3 linked regions of the Drosophila melanogaster genome follow. The main gene of each other region encodes a partner of the protein of the gene in region 2 in a complex. Each region holds a gene or a part of one and is shown on either strand. Other genes may lie near its edges.

Region 1 (4,600 bases), on a different chromosome or scaffold from region 2:
GAATTATAAATGCAATTTGCTGGCAGCTCTATTTCTTGTTTTGCCGCCGCCTTACTTATGATGCGTCTTTGTCCTCCGATGGCCCAGTCGGAGAATTAATTACGCCGCTGAAAGTTGATTCCCGCCATCCCGACGGGGATGCGGATCCGGATGCGGATGCGGAAGCCCTTGTGCCAATGCGACCACAACTGACCCAGTTGTTTAATTGAATTGAAGCCATAAACACTTGGAGTAGAACGACCACAGCCGCACAAAACGAGAACGCGTCGGGAATGAAAAATGGCCACGGCCAGGAGCACTCGCTAAATAACCTTAATTAGTAGTGCGAGTGCGGCCATCAATCACCTTTGCTTGCCTGCGTCAGAGAGAGAGATGACCAGAGAGCCGGCCAGCGGAAACGGAAATGGCAAGCGGAAACGCCAACGGATGCCACGTGGCCATTGCTAAGCATTTTGACAGCTGCGCCTGTCGCCTATGCAACAAAACACAGATACATTGCTCTACAGCGGATCAATAGGCATTCAAGTCTTATTAACTTATTACTTAAACTATCCTACAAGCATCATGCAAAAGTTCTTTGAAATTGTGGTCTGGCTATGAAACAAGCTTATGGATAGAACAAATAAATAAGATTATATGTTTTAGAGAATGTTGATTTGCCTATGTATATCGGAATTTCTTCAAGACAATACTTTTCTTATTTGTATTCATGTTCTAAAAATTAAGGAAAGGAAAAAAAAATAGAAAGGAGGAAATTAATCAAATTGCTAATTTCATCAACGTGGCTAGAAAAAGCAGCATTAAAAAAAACAAAAGCAGATGCGGTACCCTGCGCTGCTCTGCAAGAAAGCTGGCGTTTTTCAGCGAGTGGCAAGCAAAGTTGTTGACATCTTGTGAGCCAACACGTACCGCCAGTCGGCAGCAACAAAAACACACAGAACAGCACACAAAAAGTAGTAAACACTTGACGGGAGCAGCAGAAACAACACGAACAAACAGCCAGTAGTGCCAAAGAGAAGGAAGGACCAGAACTGAAGCTACGGCAAATGTTTGCTTAAAAATGATGCGAACCCCTACGAAAGAACAAGAATTTCGAAATGGGATGGGTTTTTGGATGGTTTTCTTGGTGGGCGGGGTAGATTGGGGGACTGGCGTTTGGGGATCGGATGCTTCTGCTGCCACTGACAGATGCAAGACGCGTTGACAGTGACAAAGACAATGATGACGACGACGACGATGGTTATGTTTGGGGCTCATCATCAGCAGGGCGATGAGGGGATGTTGGGATGGAGGCCAGCATTTGGCATAATCCTGCTGACAAAATGTCATTACACCATCCACACATAGTGGAGTTGCCTTTTGAAGTTTTCGGCGAAGGCGGAAAAGGCACTGCAAACTTAAATAAATAAATATGCCTTCCCGCTGACAAGTGAGGAAAAGTTCGTACAGATAGCATGTGCGCTGAAGTCTGTGTATTTTCATATCAAGGGAAAATAAGTTTTCAAGAGACATTTGCTCAAATTACAGTCATATTTAAATAACCCGAGAAATTGTTGGCGTTACTTCTGGCATTCTTGGCAAATTACTGCGAATGGATTTTTTGTGAGTTACTTGCATAAATGTATAGAATATGATAAATGTGATACAGTACCGCATTATCTATCTGTTTTCATTTAAACTTTATGTTATCTAGCCTAACACGTTATATATTTTTTTTCAATATAATTTGATGGAAACTTTGCAATAATTGGTGTAATGTAGCTGGTACCTTTTACTGCAAAGTGCCCGCCTAAATCCTGTTGACTTACCACAATATTTTTCGAAATAGTCCTTTTGCCGTAGTCTGGAGTCTGTTGCAGCTGCAGTTATTCCACTTTCCCCGAGGATCGCCAGTCACGCGAGTGGCCCAGTCATTGACAAATGGCCAGAGAACTTCTATTGTTTTATTTTTATTATATTTTACTTCTCTTCATTTTCAGAGCACTTTTCAATTGAGCTTTCTCCCGCTTCCCCGCGGAATTTGGCCTAGTTTGTTGTCTGCGATTTGGTGTTGTTTTCCAAATACATATTTATGTATGTATGTATGTGGGTTTTCCCCTGGCTTTGGTAGGCCTGCAGTTTTGAGTTACTTGGCACTTGGCTAATGCTTTTGTCTGCTTTTCTTCTGCTTTACTATGCTTTTCTTATGCTTTTTTCATGCTTTTCTGCCAGACGGGCGACGCAGTGTCTTTGCTTGCACTTGAGGAACCGTTATCTGGGTGGTGTACGAGTGTGCGAGTGTGTGTGCGCTTTTTTGTGTGGTTGAATTAGCGAGTGAGACACGAACTTTTGACCCCGTTTCGACAATAACAACACGAGAAGAGCAGAGGCTTGGCTTCCATTCTCCGGCTTTTTGAACCACTGGCCGGCTTTTTGGCTTTTCAACACCAAAAGCGCTTACATTTATGTCCGTGACTGTTTTGAGGGTTCTGAGGATTGCCCGAATGAAGGGTTTGCTGAAGTGCCCTGGCTTTTATTGATTTAGCAAGGCGTTATAGCCCGCAAATATAATACAAATCAGGCTCTCATTCGATTGGGGTTATCAATTGGCTTTAACTTTCGCATCAATAAAGTATGTTTACCGTTGGAACTTTAAGCACTTTCCCTCAACACATTCACAGTTCCATATGTTTAACGGCGCTTTTCACTAACGAATTGTTTATTGTTTGTTGTTTCCGCGTTTTTTATTGATTTGGCAGGGCGTTTTTTCCACAATCATAATAAATGCCAGTCATTTCCCGTTAGTTTTTTATAACCCATCAGTAGCAGTAGCACTACTTCCTTCGTTCTTCCTCTTCTCCCGTTGTAAAGAGTGGTTTTACCGTTAGGGTTTTATTAGCACTTTTCACTACAATAGCTGAAGTTCCGATTTGGGTTTTGCGCACGTTTTACGTAGCTAGCCGAAAACTGATAAAACATCCGCATACATGTTGTTTTTGCTCAGCCAGCGCCTCACGAACTGAGTTTAAGAACGGCGAAATACGCGAAAAGCCAGCATCTCAGCTCAGCTGTGATTGCGGTACTTTCGCTCTCTCTCTTTGGCGCCATCCGGAAAAGTACCGTACTCCACGTGGCTAGCGAACAGCTGTTGCCGCAGATGTTCCACTGAGCATGCGCAAAAGGAGCTCGCCGCGGGAAACTGGGAAATTAGAAAGCTCCGTTACTGGAAAATCGGTTTAGTGGGAACGGTTGCTAGCTATTTTCATATGCCATAAAAGTTTCTCCACCAACACGACACCTACAACTTGATGGCACCCAAAAGTTGGCGCGAAAGTCAACACTTCGCACATAAAGACATCTTTCCGCTTGGCCAACTTTTCGGGCCAACAAACTTTTCACATTACAAAAAGCGCACATTTTTTAACCCACATTTGGCATAAATTTTCGCATTACTTGGGTTAACCAGAGCTCTAGCACAAAAGAATGGTAGATATTATAAATTATTTGGGGAGTTTAGAAAACCACTCTCTTCTAAAACTCTACTCAAAATAAAATCAAAAAATTCGTCTTAATAGGTGTTTAATGCATTTATGCATTTTAGATTGGCAATTAGAAACAGAAACCGTAAATAGTATTATTATTACTGATTTAATGGCCTTCAAACCCTTTATTGTTAAAAACATTATCTTTTTGTCATTACTTTTGTTTTAATTTTAGTTACGTTTTTTATTGTTAAATAATTACAAAACCCTAATGCACAAAAATGCAAAAAACGTCGAAGCCAGCAAGCGCCGGCAGCGAAAGTGTTCAGCAACAATGGCCATCGTGACCGCTGTGGTTGTGCGAGTGGCCATGTCCGCCGGATCTGTGGACCGCCTTCTCCTCCTCCTCGCCTGACTGCTTCGCAGCCTTGGCCTGATCCTCATCGGCAAACTCGCTGAGGTCGCGTCGCATGGCATATGCATCCTCGCCATCGGCATAGTACTTGGGCTCCACCTCGATGATCTTGAACTTGAGGGCGTTGGTGTAGAGGTTCAGGGCAGCCCGATTGCTCTTCCTCACGTGCAGGGACACGTACTGGGCATTGAAGCACTCGACCATGGCCTGGGAGGCCTGATTCATGAGCTTCTGGGCCAGGCCCAATCGCCGATAGGAACGCTTGACCGCTAGCGAGGTGATGTGCCCATGGCGGCTCTCCTCATTGGGCTCCGGCTCCTCCATCTTGGCCAGGACATAGCCCACAATGGCGCCCTTGTCGTCAACGGCCACGTAGCTAAGCTGAGGCCAGGTTAGTCCGTGGTAAAAGTAGTACTTCATCTGGTAGTTTTCGGGTAGACACAGCAGATTGCAGTGCTGCATGGTCATTAGGTCTTCCGGTTTTGCGCAGCGGATGTTCATGGTGAGGCTGTGTAGATGTGCTTCCTAGTCTCGGCGAGCTTTCCTGGCTCTGCCGTGGTGGTGTGGCTGTTGATTCTGATGATCCCAAGCAAGTGGTTGCTGATCCTCCGGCTCCTCCTGACCCAACAGCTCTCGAACCAGACGAAATTTCGATAGAAACGCCTTCCAGATGAGGAACCAGCCTGCAAAATAGACAAATTTCAATATGACTTGTTGCTCGGAT
Region 2 (4,777 bases):
TTAAGTCTCAAGGATTTTGGAGGCGGATTTAATGAAAAATTAATGATATTTATAAATAGCAATTATCAAAAATAATAATTGAAGTGAGAGAAGCATATTTTTTTTTTCTGTTATTTCACCGTGCATGCGTGCAAAAAATCGTGGTTACGGCCGGTGCTGTTGGTATCAATTAAGTCACTCGTGGGACGGCAACAGAATGGCCATTAATGGCGCTATCTCGCTCCCGCCATTTGGCCATACTGCGGTTTAGCTTACATTTCACATCCGGTGGGCGGGCGTGGTCCTTGGGGGGCGGGGCGGTGGGTGTCGGTGTTTGGCAATTAATTTGCATATCATTGATATGCACACACAGTAACAAACACGCACATGCACATTATATTTGCTTAGGATTATTATCGGTTATTAATGTTGCTGTAATTGAAAATTATTTTCACTTTTATGTTTATCATTATCAACTGCCATTTTACATCCTACATCCAGCATTTCCATCTGCGGCATTATCGTCGCATGGGAATTATTGTTTGCCGTGATTTAAGTGCTTTAAATATGCACATCTGCATGCATGTATGTATGTATGTATTTCGTATTTATGCGAACCGAGCCCACGAAGCGTGGGCCACGTCCATGCATAATTATCAACATTATGGGAATAGTTTTGCTACTAGTTGGACTTCCTGAGGTTTTGTCGAGGCATTTTCGCACCATTGACACGTGTTAAATAATAGATTTTGATCCAAAGGCTGGTCGGTTCATATTTTAAATAACCTTTAATATTAAGCGAATTGTAATATTTTAAAACGATTTTGTACAAACATTTTGGTATTGGTACAAGCATTTTGAACTGCATAAGTATTCGGTTCTCAATTTATATGCCATAATAAACAGTTTAGCACGCATTGTTCTTATAAGTGCTGGCTTGTCTATTAAAGTTTTATTGAGTCATAATAAAGCTGATTTCGGAATTAGTTCGGTTAACAGCCCCACCGATTTTGGAAAATCTACTTCGGCCCATTCGGAAAGCCCCAAGCGAATCAAAATTAATGATACGATTTAACCACATTGACTGGGGAATAAAACAATGGGCCAACTGTTTTTAGACTGAATCGCAAACAATAAAGACCGTGCCGTAAATATTTAATGCGAGGAAGGAAAGTATTTGTGATTGTCGCGCCGACGTGAACAATTTGGCACTTCATTTTTTATAATTATCATACGATGGTCAGACAATCGGAACAGCAATCACCGGCGGCCAGGTGAAAATTTGCCCAGGGAATATTGTGGTAAGGGGGGGGGAGGGAGTAACGGCGGGAAAGTGGGCAAGGTGAAAACATAATTTTTGCACAATTAAAATGAGGCGAGAAATATGTGCGCACGATTCAGTGACCAGACAGTGTATCGCTAAAATTAAACGACATCTGAAGGTAGTTTTAATGAAAGAGACAAACATTTGTTCAACAAACATTTTAAAAATCTTAATAAAAATTGTATTTACTATCATTACCGGCTATCATTGTGTTTTAAGCCGCTCTATAGTTTCGAAACATACTGTAATCGCGTTGAACAGATTTGGCTCGAATCCTGATATCAGTGGGATCAGTTCTGAAAATGTGAGTGCAGATGTAAATGTAAATGTAAGTGGATGAGTGAGTCAATTAAATCGCCATTGAATGGTCAGCGTTCAGTTTTCGATGTTGCGCGTTGTCTTTTGTTTATTTATTTATTTGTTTGTTATTTATACGTTTTAATGCCCAATGGCAATGGCAACAATGCAGCGGGCAAAATGCAATATGGAGAATGGTATCCATGACAGTGCATTAAGCAGTCTCCAGCAGTTATTAATCGCCTGTTTTCCCCGCTCTACCTATCATTTAGGGGTTTCAATAGGGCGCCGCAATACGGCGAAACAATTATCAAGTCGGTTTGCGTTCGCTTTCCCGCCGGATTGCGTCCGTCCGTTCGATTTCCGTTTCCGTCGCTGCACAACACTGATTGCAGGGTTGCATTCGGGCAGAATGCGGCTACGATAAACACCTGATAAGCTCCCGATAACTCCTATAAGCACTCTTCAAACGGATCAGGCCAAAAGCCAGCTCACTGACCAGATCTGAATTTTTTTTTAATGTAATACTTTGGTTGCATTACGCAGCACCAAAAATTAAGTTTTCAGCTGATTGAACAAGTTTAACAGATTTTTATACTGAAGTATAGTTGATAAATTTTTATTTTTAATTGATGCAGAATATTTCTGAATTCTTTTTAAATGAGCGGACCGACGGTAATTAAAACGATCCGCTTTGAAAATATTACATACTAAAACAAATTAAACTTTGAATAAGAGAATATTTTATTTATGACCATTTTCCAGCTTTTTAGTATTATTATCAGCGTCGATTTTTAAGTAGTACTTTACTTTATAGGTAATAAGTTTGTCGGAAACTTTTAACAGTTTCTAGGTGAAGAATTTATGAAGAAACTATGACAGACCAAAAATCAATTTACTCGAATTGTAAAGGAATTTCTTTTCGGCCTTGGGTTTTTTTTTATTTTCAATTCGAAATATTGTATTAATCAAGAACACACGCAATAGTTTTCAACATTTTGTACAATCCGTTTTTCGATATTTTTTTAATGATCTAATGATCCTTTTACCTTCCAGAAGCGAAACGATGAGCAGCAGGTGAATCAACATTTTGCCATTCCGATCGCAGCTGGTGAACTGAAAATTCCGAAGTAAGCGTTTCGCCGAGACTGGCATTTGGTTTCAATAACTTCACAAACACAAACACATTTGCGATCGTCACGCGGAGAAAAAAAAAACAGTTTCACTGCACTAAAAAAATGTTAAAAAAAATATTCACCCAAATGTATATGCTTTAGAGTATTTTTTTTTTTTTATATTAATAATTATTTCTTAAAGACGCGAGTATTCCGAGAGTGCAGCTTCGAGTTCCGTTTGACTGTTTTTCAACCAGCCGACAGCGCCGACGTTGATCAACTGAAGATGCAGCTGCCGGAATAAGCATCCTGTGGCCTCGAGGACGACCGAAAACGAACAAATCGACGGCACCGAAATGGCACGAGCTTCGAACGAAGCGACACGAAGTCCTGTCGTAATCGTTAGCCGTTGGATACTGTAAAACCGAACAGCCGTCCCGAATGTCCTGCTGACGAACCCTCGTTGCCAATTGTCGAAGTGGATGTTCGAATCGAACGCCGTCCACCATGTGCCGAATGCGATCCACATGGCGGGCACGTGGTGGAACGCATAGCTCTTAGATGCCGGCGGGGGGATGTCCTGGCGGCGCAGGCGCCGTGTCCTTCGGAGGAGGAGTGTCATCCACATTCGTCTGACAAATGGTACGACAATTGCTACAAGCTGTGGTGGCATTTGGCCACCGCCTGGCAGAATCTGAATCTCCTGCGACCACAGCGTCCAAATGGAGTGACAGGAGGGTCCGCGCGTTGGGCGCCAGTTGTGAAGAACTCGAGATTGCGACAGGTCCCTGGGATACAACATTTCACCAAGAACTCAAGTCGAGTTAGTGAGACCACTAAAAATTTCAGCAAGCACTATGTGCTATATATGTGCACCTTTCTTTAGAAAGCCTCATCGCAATGGGCCTCATCAAAGGTTAAGGGCTACCGATTTTGCTAACCGATATAATTTCCACGCAGATAATACAGTTTTATAATAATATTATTGCTAATAGTGACATGCAAAATATCTAACCAAATACTTTTATGTCACAGAAAACGTAACCCTACGATTTGAAACAAATGAAATGATATATTCTCAGCTGCAGATCAATTACTTGATTTGCATTATTGAACCCTGACTTTTGTGCCAAATTTGTTGGTACAACCACTTAGCCACATTCCACATCGATTTACGTATGCAATTTGGTCTACAAAATGCGCTTGAATCATTTTGAGTTTCGCATATGCATGGCCAATTACTTTTCCCGGAGGTCCTCATAAGTTGTCCGTTTCGAACTGGCCTCCAGCTGACATTCGGTGGTTGATCAACCACCCCAACAATACCCCATTTCCATTTGGCCATCGAAAGGAGCAACTTTGCCAGCGTTGGGCGGAAAAAGTTTCGAAGTGCATTCTGCATTCTGTCAGATAAGCAGGCGACACAATCCCAATCGAAATCCCAATTGACATAATTTTCAATATTTCAATGTCGGGAAAATAGGTAGATTGCACTGGAATTTAATTGAACTTTAACTGTCAGTTTTTTGGGTCCTCAGAGGCGTCACAAATTCGCTGGGGGAGGGACCACATCTTTGGCCACGATGTGACAGGACCGAAAGTCAGGGCTGTCAAAGCTATCACAAAGTGGCTTAATTATCCAATAGACGCTAGATTCTAAATGTCAGCGGATGCCAGTCATCTTAAATTGTGGATAGTGTCTTCAACTTTTCCATTAAATAACTCAATTACGCCTCAGACTTTTGCTGATGAATGGGTCTGGGGTAGAGAAATGGGGCTGAGGCATAATTATGCCATTACGCAATTTTTACCACCCGATCCGCTTAAATGAATTGCAGCTGCTCCGCCATCAGCTGAAATGCGCTGCAACAAATCAAAGTGCGATTCCTTGAATGCCACGACGAAAACTTTTCGGCAATTATCCACAGGAAAAGCGGAGAATAGCGAAGAAAATCGTTGAAAGTGCGAGGAAAAAAGTTTGATAGGAGAATTTAAAATTACCAGAAAGCTTTGAGGATGATCCAAATTCCCATTAGTTACAACTGTCCGAAAGAGTTCTACA
Region 3 (4,706 bases), on a different chromosome or scaffold from region 2:
GTTTTTTTTTTTTCGTCGCATCACCCTTGATGTCGTGGAACATGAATTGATTAAATTTGTGTTGATTTTAGGGCTGATAATGGATAATAACAGACTTTAATGGATAATAAACTATGGTAAAAACAAGGATTTTCTCGAAGAGATTCTAGAAATTCTGCTAACCAATAAAACAGCTCTTTCTCTAAGCAATCCACTATTGATTTCAATAGGTGAGTGGCCTAAAATGGAATCCTTTTCCCTCTCCATGAGCGCACAAAAGTTTACACCACAAATTAGAAGAACATTACACGCCCAATCCAGTTTCCCTTGAAGGACATGCTCACATCATACAATTAATAATGGTTAATGCATAAACCAGAATCAATTTTTGACAGAAGTTGGATTGAAGTGTCTCTGGTCAGCTGCCCTTGCATATTTCATTTCCTAAAACTTCGGTGGCATGTGTCCGGATCCGAAAATAATTCAACGCCCCCACGACCCCAAAATTATGAGTCGTTTTTGGAGAACTGTTCAAAGCAGTAACGCCCCATTTTCCGGCTGAGGCTATTTTCAGACCTGCTGCCATCCATCCATTCACTTTGGCATCAATCAATTGCCCTGCCCAGGGGAAAAACTTTTATGCTACTCGGGCACTTCTCCTCACATCTAATTTGTTAAACATTTGCTGGGGAATTGCCTTTTTCACACGCCCCTTGAAACACGGTGTGTGTTTTCCTTTCGAATTTTTCCCTCTTGCACTGTGTGAAATTAATTAAAACTTAATTAATTGCAAACTCCGCTGCACCAAAGAGACGACAGACAGACTAATGAGTAGGGGGATGGGATTAAGGTCTGAGTTCAACTGCAGGACTCATTCGACATGCTGAGAAAAAATTAATCAGCCGGTACAGTGAAACAATGGAAAGATTTTCGCATGAAACAATGGAAACTAATTATGTATAATGGAAACAATTGAATAAGATTTTGTATAACAATTATTTAGATTTATTGATTAAAAATAAACAAATATTATAAAAGGACTTCAAAAAAGAACTTCAAACAATAAAAAATTTATGAATCATCAATGCACAAACTCTTGCCATCATAAATCATTGATATAAAATATACATTTTAATGCAATATTGCTAAGCAGCTTATACGATATCTCATGTATATATTTTAAAAAATATATAGTTTTAAAGCAAATCCTTAAAAAGGATCTGATCCCTGATCTCTAATTTTTTTGCCTGCAGAAACCTCTGTGTGCGACTTCAATCAGAAGTGGCTGCTGCTGACATGCTGCTCCTGTTGGGAATCCTGGCTGGAATCCTTGGCCACTTGTCACTGTTGCCTCCGTAATGGAATTAGGGAGGGGCCAGGGGTTCCAGAATGTGCGAACCAGGAGGGCCAGGTTCTCGAGGGAAGGATTCGGGATTCAGGGACGGAGTCTGAGACTCCTGCCAACGTCAGCAATGTCTCTCAAAAGTGTTAACGCACTCAATTGCTACTATTCCCATCTCCTTCGTTGCCACTATCCCCCCTCTCTTTCTGAGAGTCCTCTTGCCACTCTTTCTAATTGTAAGCGTCTGCATTTTGCCTCTCAGCTTGGGGGCAGTGTCTGCTCTAATGTTTAGTAACTGTGATTAGGAGGCAACTCTAGTTCCGGGTGGGCTTAATTTGCCCTACCCACACCCACCCAATGCCCGTGGGCAATCTTTGCTTTTGTTTCTGCCCCATTGTGTGCCGGTTAATTCCTGCTGTATGAATATTTTATTGAGAAAGGGTTTCACATTTTATTGGCTACATGGCATTATGTGCGAGAACAAAGAAAGGAAACAATTTAATTGTGTTTGGGGATGTCAGGCAAGGATTGCACATAAGCTCGTGGCCTCAAAAGTTGATACCACAACACAATGGTGCTGGGGCGGGCAAAAGTAAAATCGTTGAAAAGCCAAAGTGCTTGGCACTCGACAAAACTTTTCCATCAACAACTGCAGTTGAGACAAGCGAAAGTTTTTTCCCAAGGAAACTTAATTTTCCCCAACAGCCACAACATCTTATCATACCCATACGAGAGATATATTTCGGTTCTTGCGGCGACGCACATTGCGCATACGCACTGTGATCAGTCTGTCGTAAATTTCAATGCACACTTGTTTTCCGTTAATATTTTATGGGTTTTCTATTAATTTTTGTCACATTCTTTTAGTGTCTCCCCTCGGCCGGAATATTAGATTACACAGAAATGAATGTATTAACGCTCGATATTTGTGGCAGCGCTTTTTTTGTTTTGACGCAGATCAAAGATGGTTTGGTTCTGTTTTTTGTTTGGCATTTGTGTGTTGTTTTAATTTGTTAATTTGTATTTGGGGTCTGGGCTCCCCTTTGGCGGTCTAAATATAAAACAACTTAATTTGCTGCATGCTAATGAGATGGCCAAGGGGCGGGGCTGGAGGACGTTGTGTGGGCGTTTAACACTTTTATAATTTGTTTGTCCGCAGACAGAATTCTTTTCCTGCATTTTTTCTGGCCCCACATTTGGCAAGCAGCTGACACGCACCGAATTTCGTTAGATTTCTGATTACTTTTCTTTTTTAGGTGTATAATTTTTGGAGACGATGTCGTAAAATATTCGCGTGCCGAAAGCGTTTTAGCTTAACAATAAGAGCAATAGCAGCAACAGCAGTAACAGTAACTGGAATAACAAAAAAAAAGCGACAAAAGGTCATTCAATTTTCGACTGCCGGCAATGGGGCAATGAGGCTTTTCCTGCGTTTTCACACGTTTTCCAAAATTTACGACCCAATTGTGCCCGCTTTTCTTATCCGTTTGCACTCACACTCTCTAGCCTCGAGTCACAGAAACACACGCACATGCACACACACACACATACACTATAGTCCGGAAAATGTCGCGCCTCACGTATTTGGGCCTCACATTTCCCTCAACTTTTTATTCGGATTTTCACGCGCTTTTCCGCGCCTTCGCCTTTCGTTCACCGTCGATGTCGCGCTGAAACTGAAACAGAAACTGAAACTGATTTCTGGCAGCAGTGGAGCATTTGTTGGGGCCTCCGGGGGGGATTCCCGAACTCATACGAGCCTTTATCAGCGACGCTTCGGGTTTGTTGTCTTCGGCTCGGGAAAAGTCGTTGGAAAAGAGGGACGGAAAAATCGTGTGCCGAGCATTTCAGCTGAATTCGCCGCATTTATCTCTCTTAATTTCCTCTTCTCTTTTAATCACAACACTATGTTCACTTTCAAGGTCTTACAATAAAAGGTTTCAAATAGTTTTGGAAATCCGCGATTATTTTTTTAGTGGCAGCAGGGTGTTTTTTGAGGTCGAATTATGTTCGCAAAGCAAATAAAAGCGGACTTTACGATCCTGTTTTTAAGGGGTTAAGTTAATTTTAATGCAGTGAAGTTAAGTGACACGTAGGGATTCCAGTTCTTAAAAGCAGAGTAATATTTCAGTTTATGTTTCAGCTAGAGTGCTTTATTATAGGTCTCTTAAAAAAAAATAATCTAAGCCATTTTAGTTGAAACTTGAAATAAAAAGAATTAATCCGGTTGAGGGAGTGAAGGATCATAAAAAGAACATAATCACTATAGCAAAACCCAAAAACAACATAATGTCTTATTGATCCCATTTATTTTTTACTTGCTTATATGCTTACTTAACTGAATTTAGGAAACTATGTTATTTCATATACTTCCATAAGATCCTAAGTTCAATTTTAATAAATGAGAAAAGTTATAATATTTTTCCCAAGAACATATTCATTTATTTTAGATAATTTAATATTAAATTATCATTATTATATACGCTTTGTGCATGCTACGTTCTCATTTATTTATATTTAGGTACTTCGTCTCTATAAGGGAAGCAAACCGTCTGCCTTGGACAATATCTTGAGCAAGACTGACAGACTTAGGTCAGTATCAAAGAGAAATTGTATGGAATTTGGCAAAGAGTGCGCATGCACTGAACAATTCTTTGGTGCTCTTAGACTAGCTCTTCCACGATTTAACAGCGAATTGGATAATATGGCCAGAAGGCAGGGATTTCAATAATATACACTGAAGCTGGCACAAAAAGAGCTAATGACAATATAAATTCGCGCGGCGTATGGATATGCGTGGCAGATGGGAAACTGTGTAGCCGGCTAAGGGATTTCCCGCTCTTTGAAGGGAATGCGGTATCGGGATGATGAAAATCCGGGAAAAGTGGCGGGGTGCAAGCCAGCTGACAGCAGTTATCGCTGGAGCGAAAGGCAGTAATTAGCGTAAATTGAGTTGGTAAAAAGCGCAAGTGTTCAAAATCCACCCACTCAGTTGTGTGACACCCGCACCACCACCCCACATGCCTAGAACCAGCCAAAAACCTCGCCTGCGGCCTTGGGCTTTAGTTGTCCCTTGTTTTTGCGGCTGCTTGTGCTGCTGTGCTGTTGTTGATTATGTGGCAATTAGTTGTCGCTTTTGTGGCAAGCCACGCGGCACTTTCAATCAGAGCATCTTATTCCGACAGCCACATAATGCCCATCCAGGTGGGGCTTAGTGAGCTAATTAAACAAGCCGATTATGGCCCGACATTCCGCTGACCTTGGCCACCTCATGCTGCCATTCAGCATCCACCACCCGCTGTGAGTCCATCTCGGTAAAGTTTACCACAACTCCTAACCAACTCGAGCGCAGAACATTTCTCCAGTTATCAACTTTCTGCACATA

What was found. The genes of interacting proteins can lie anywhere in the genome.
Region 1: the proteins of DIP-alpha (region 2) and dpr6 are in contact, whole or in part, in a crystal structure (PDB 5EO9), measured with the Drosophila melanogaster proteins. Residues at the interface, in NP_001259218.1 of Drosophila melanogaster: Tyr71, Arg72, Val73, Gly74, Leu76, Ala78, Thr80, Lys81, Ala82, Ile83, Ile86, Ile91, Thr92, His93, Asn94, Met123, Gln125, Leu126, Asn127, Thr128, Asp129, Met131; in NP_001261675.1 of Drosophila melanogaster: Asn102, Lys103, Thr104, Ser106, Ile108, His110, Asp112, Ile113, His114, Ile115, Val118, Tyr121, Tyr123, Ser125, Asp126, Glu156, Gln158, Ser160, Gln162, Val164.
Region 3: the proteins of DIP-alpha (region 2) and dpr10 are in contact, whole or in part, in a crystal structure (PDB 6NRQ), measured with the Drosophila melanogaster proteins. Residues at the interface, in NP_001259218.1 of Drosophila melanogaster: Tyr71, Arg72, Val73, Gly74, Leu76, Ala78, Thr80, Lys81, Ala82, Ile83, Ile86, Ile91, Thr92, His93, Asn94, Met123, Gln125, Leu126, Asn127, Thr128, Asp129, Met131; in NP_001261676.1 of Drosophila melanogaster: Asn82, Lys83, Thr84, Ala86, Ile88, His90, Asp92, Leu93, His94, Ile95, Val98, Tyr101, Tyr103, Thr104, Thr105, Asp106, Glu136, Gln138, Ser140, Gln142, Val144.

Annotation. Positions count from the first base shown.
Region 1 is NT_037436.4:9,973,053-9,977,652, reverse strand, and holds the start of dpr6 (defective proboscis extension response 6), read right to left. Parts: upstream 3,003-4,600; 5' UTR 1,809-3,002; intron 1-1,808. Other genes in the region: vnc (variable nurse cells), read right to left, coding at 3,787-4,377; CG42455 (uncharacterized protein), read right to left, coding at 4,402-4,559.
Region 2 is NC_004354.4:3,527,666-3,532,442, forward strand, and holds the start of DIP-alpha (Dpr-interacting protein alpha), read right to left. Parts: upstream 3,001-4,777; 5' UTR 2,756-3,000; coding exon 2,650-2,755; intron 1-2,649.
Region 3 is NT_037436.4:10,183,107-10,187,812, forward strand, and holds the start of dpr10 (defective proboscis extension response 10), read right to left. Parts: upstream 3,003-4,706; 5' UTR 2,819-3,002; intron 1-2,818.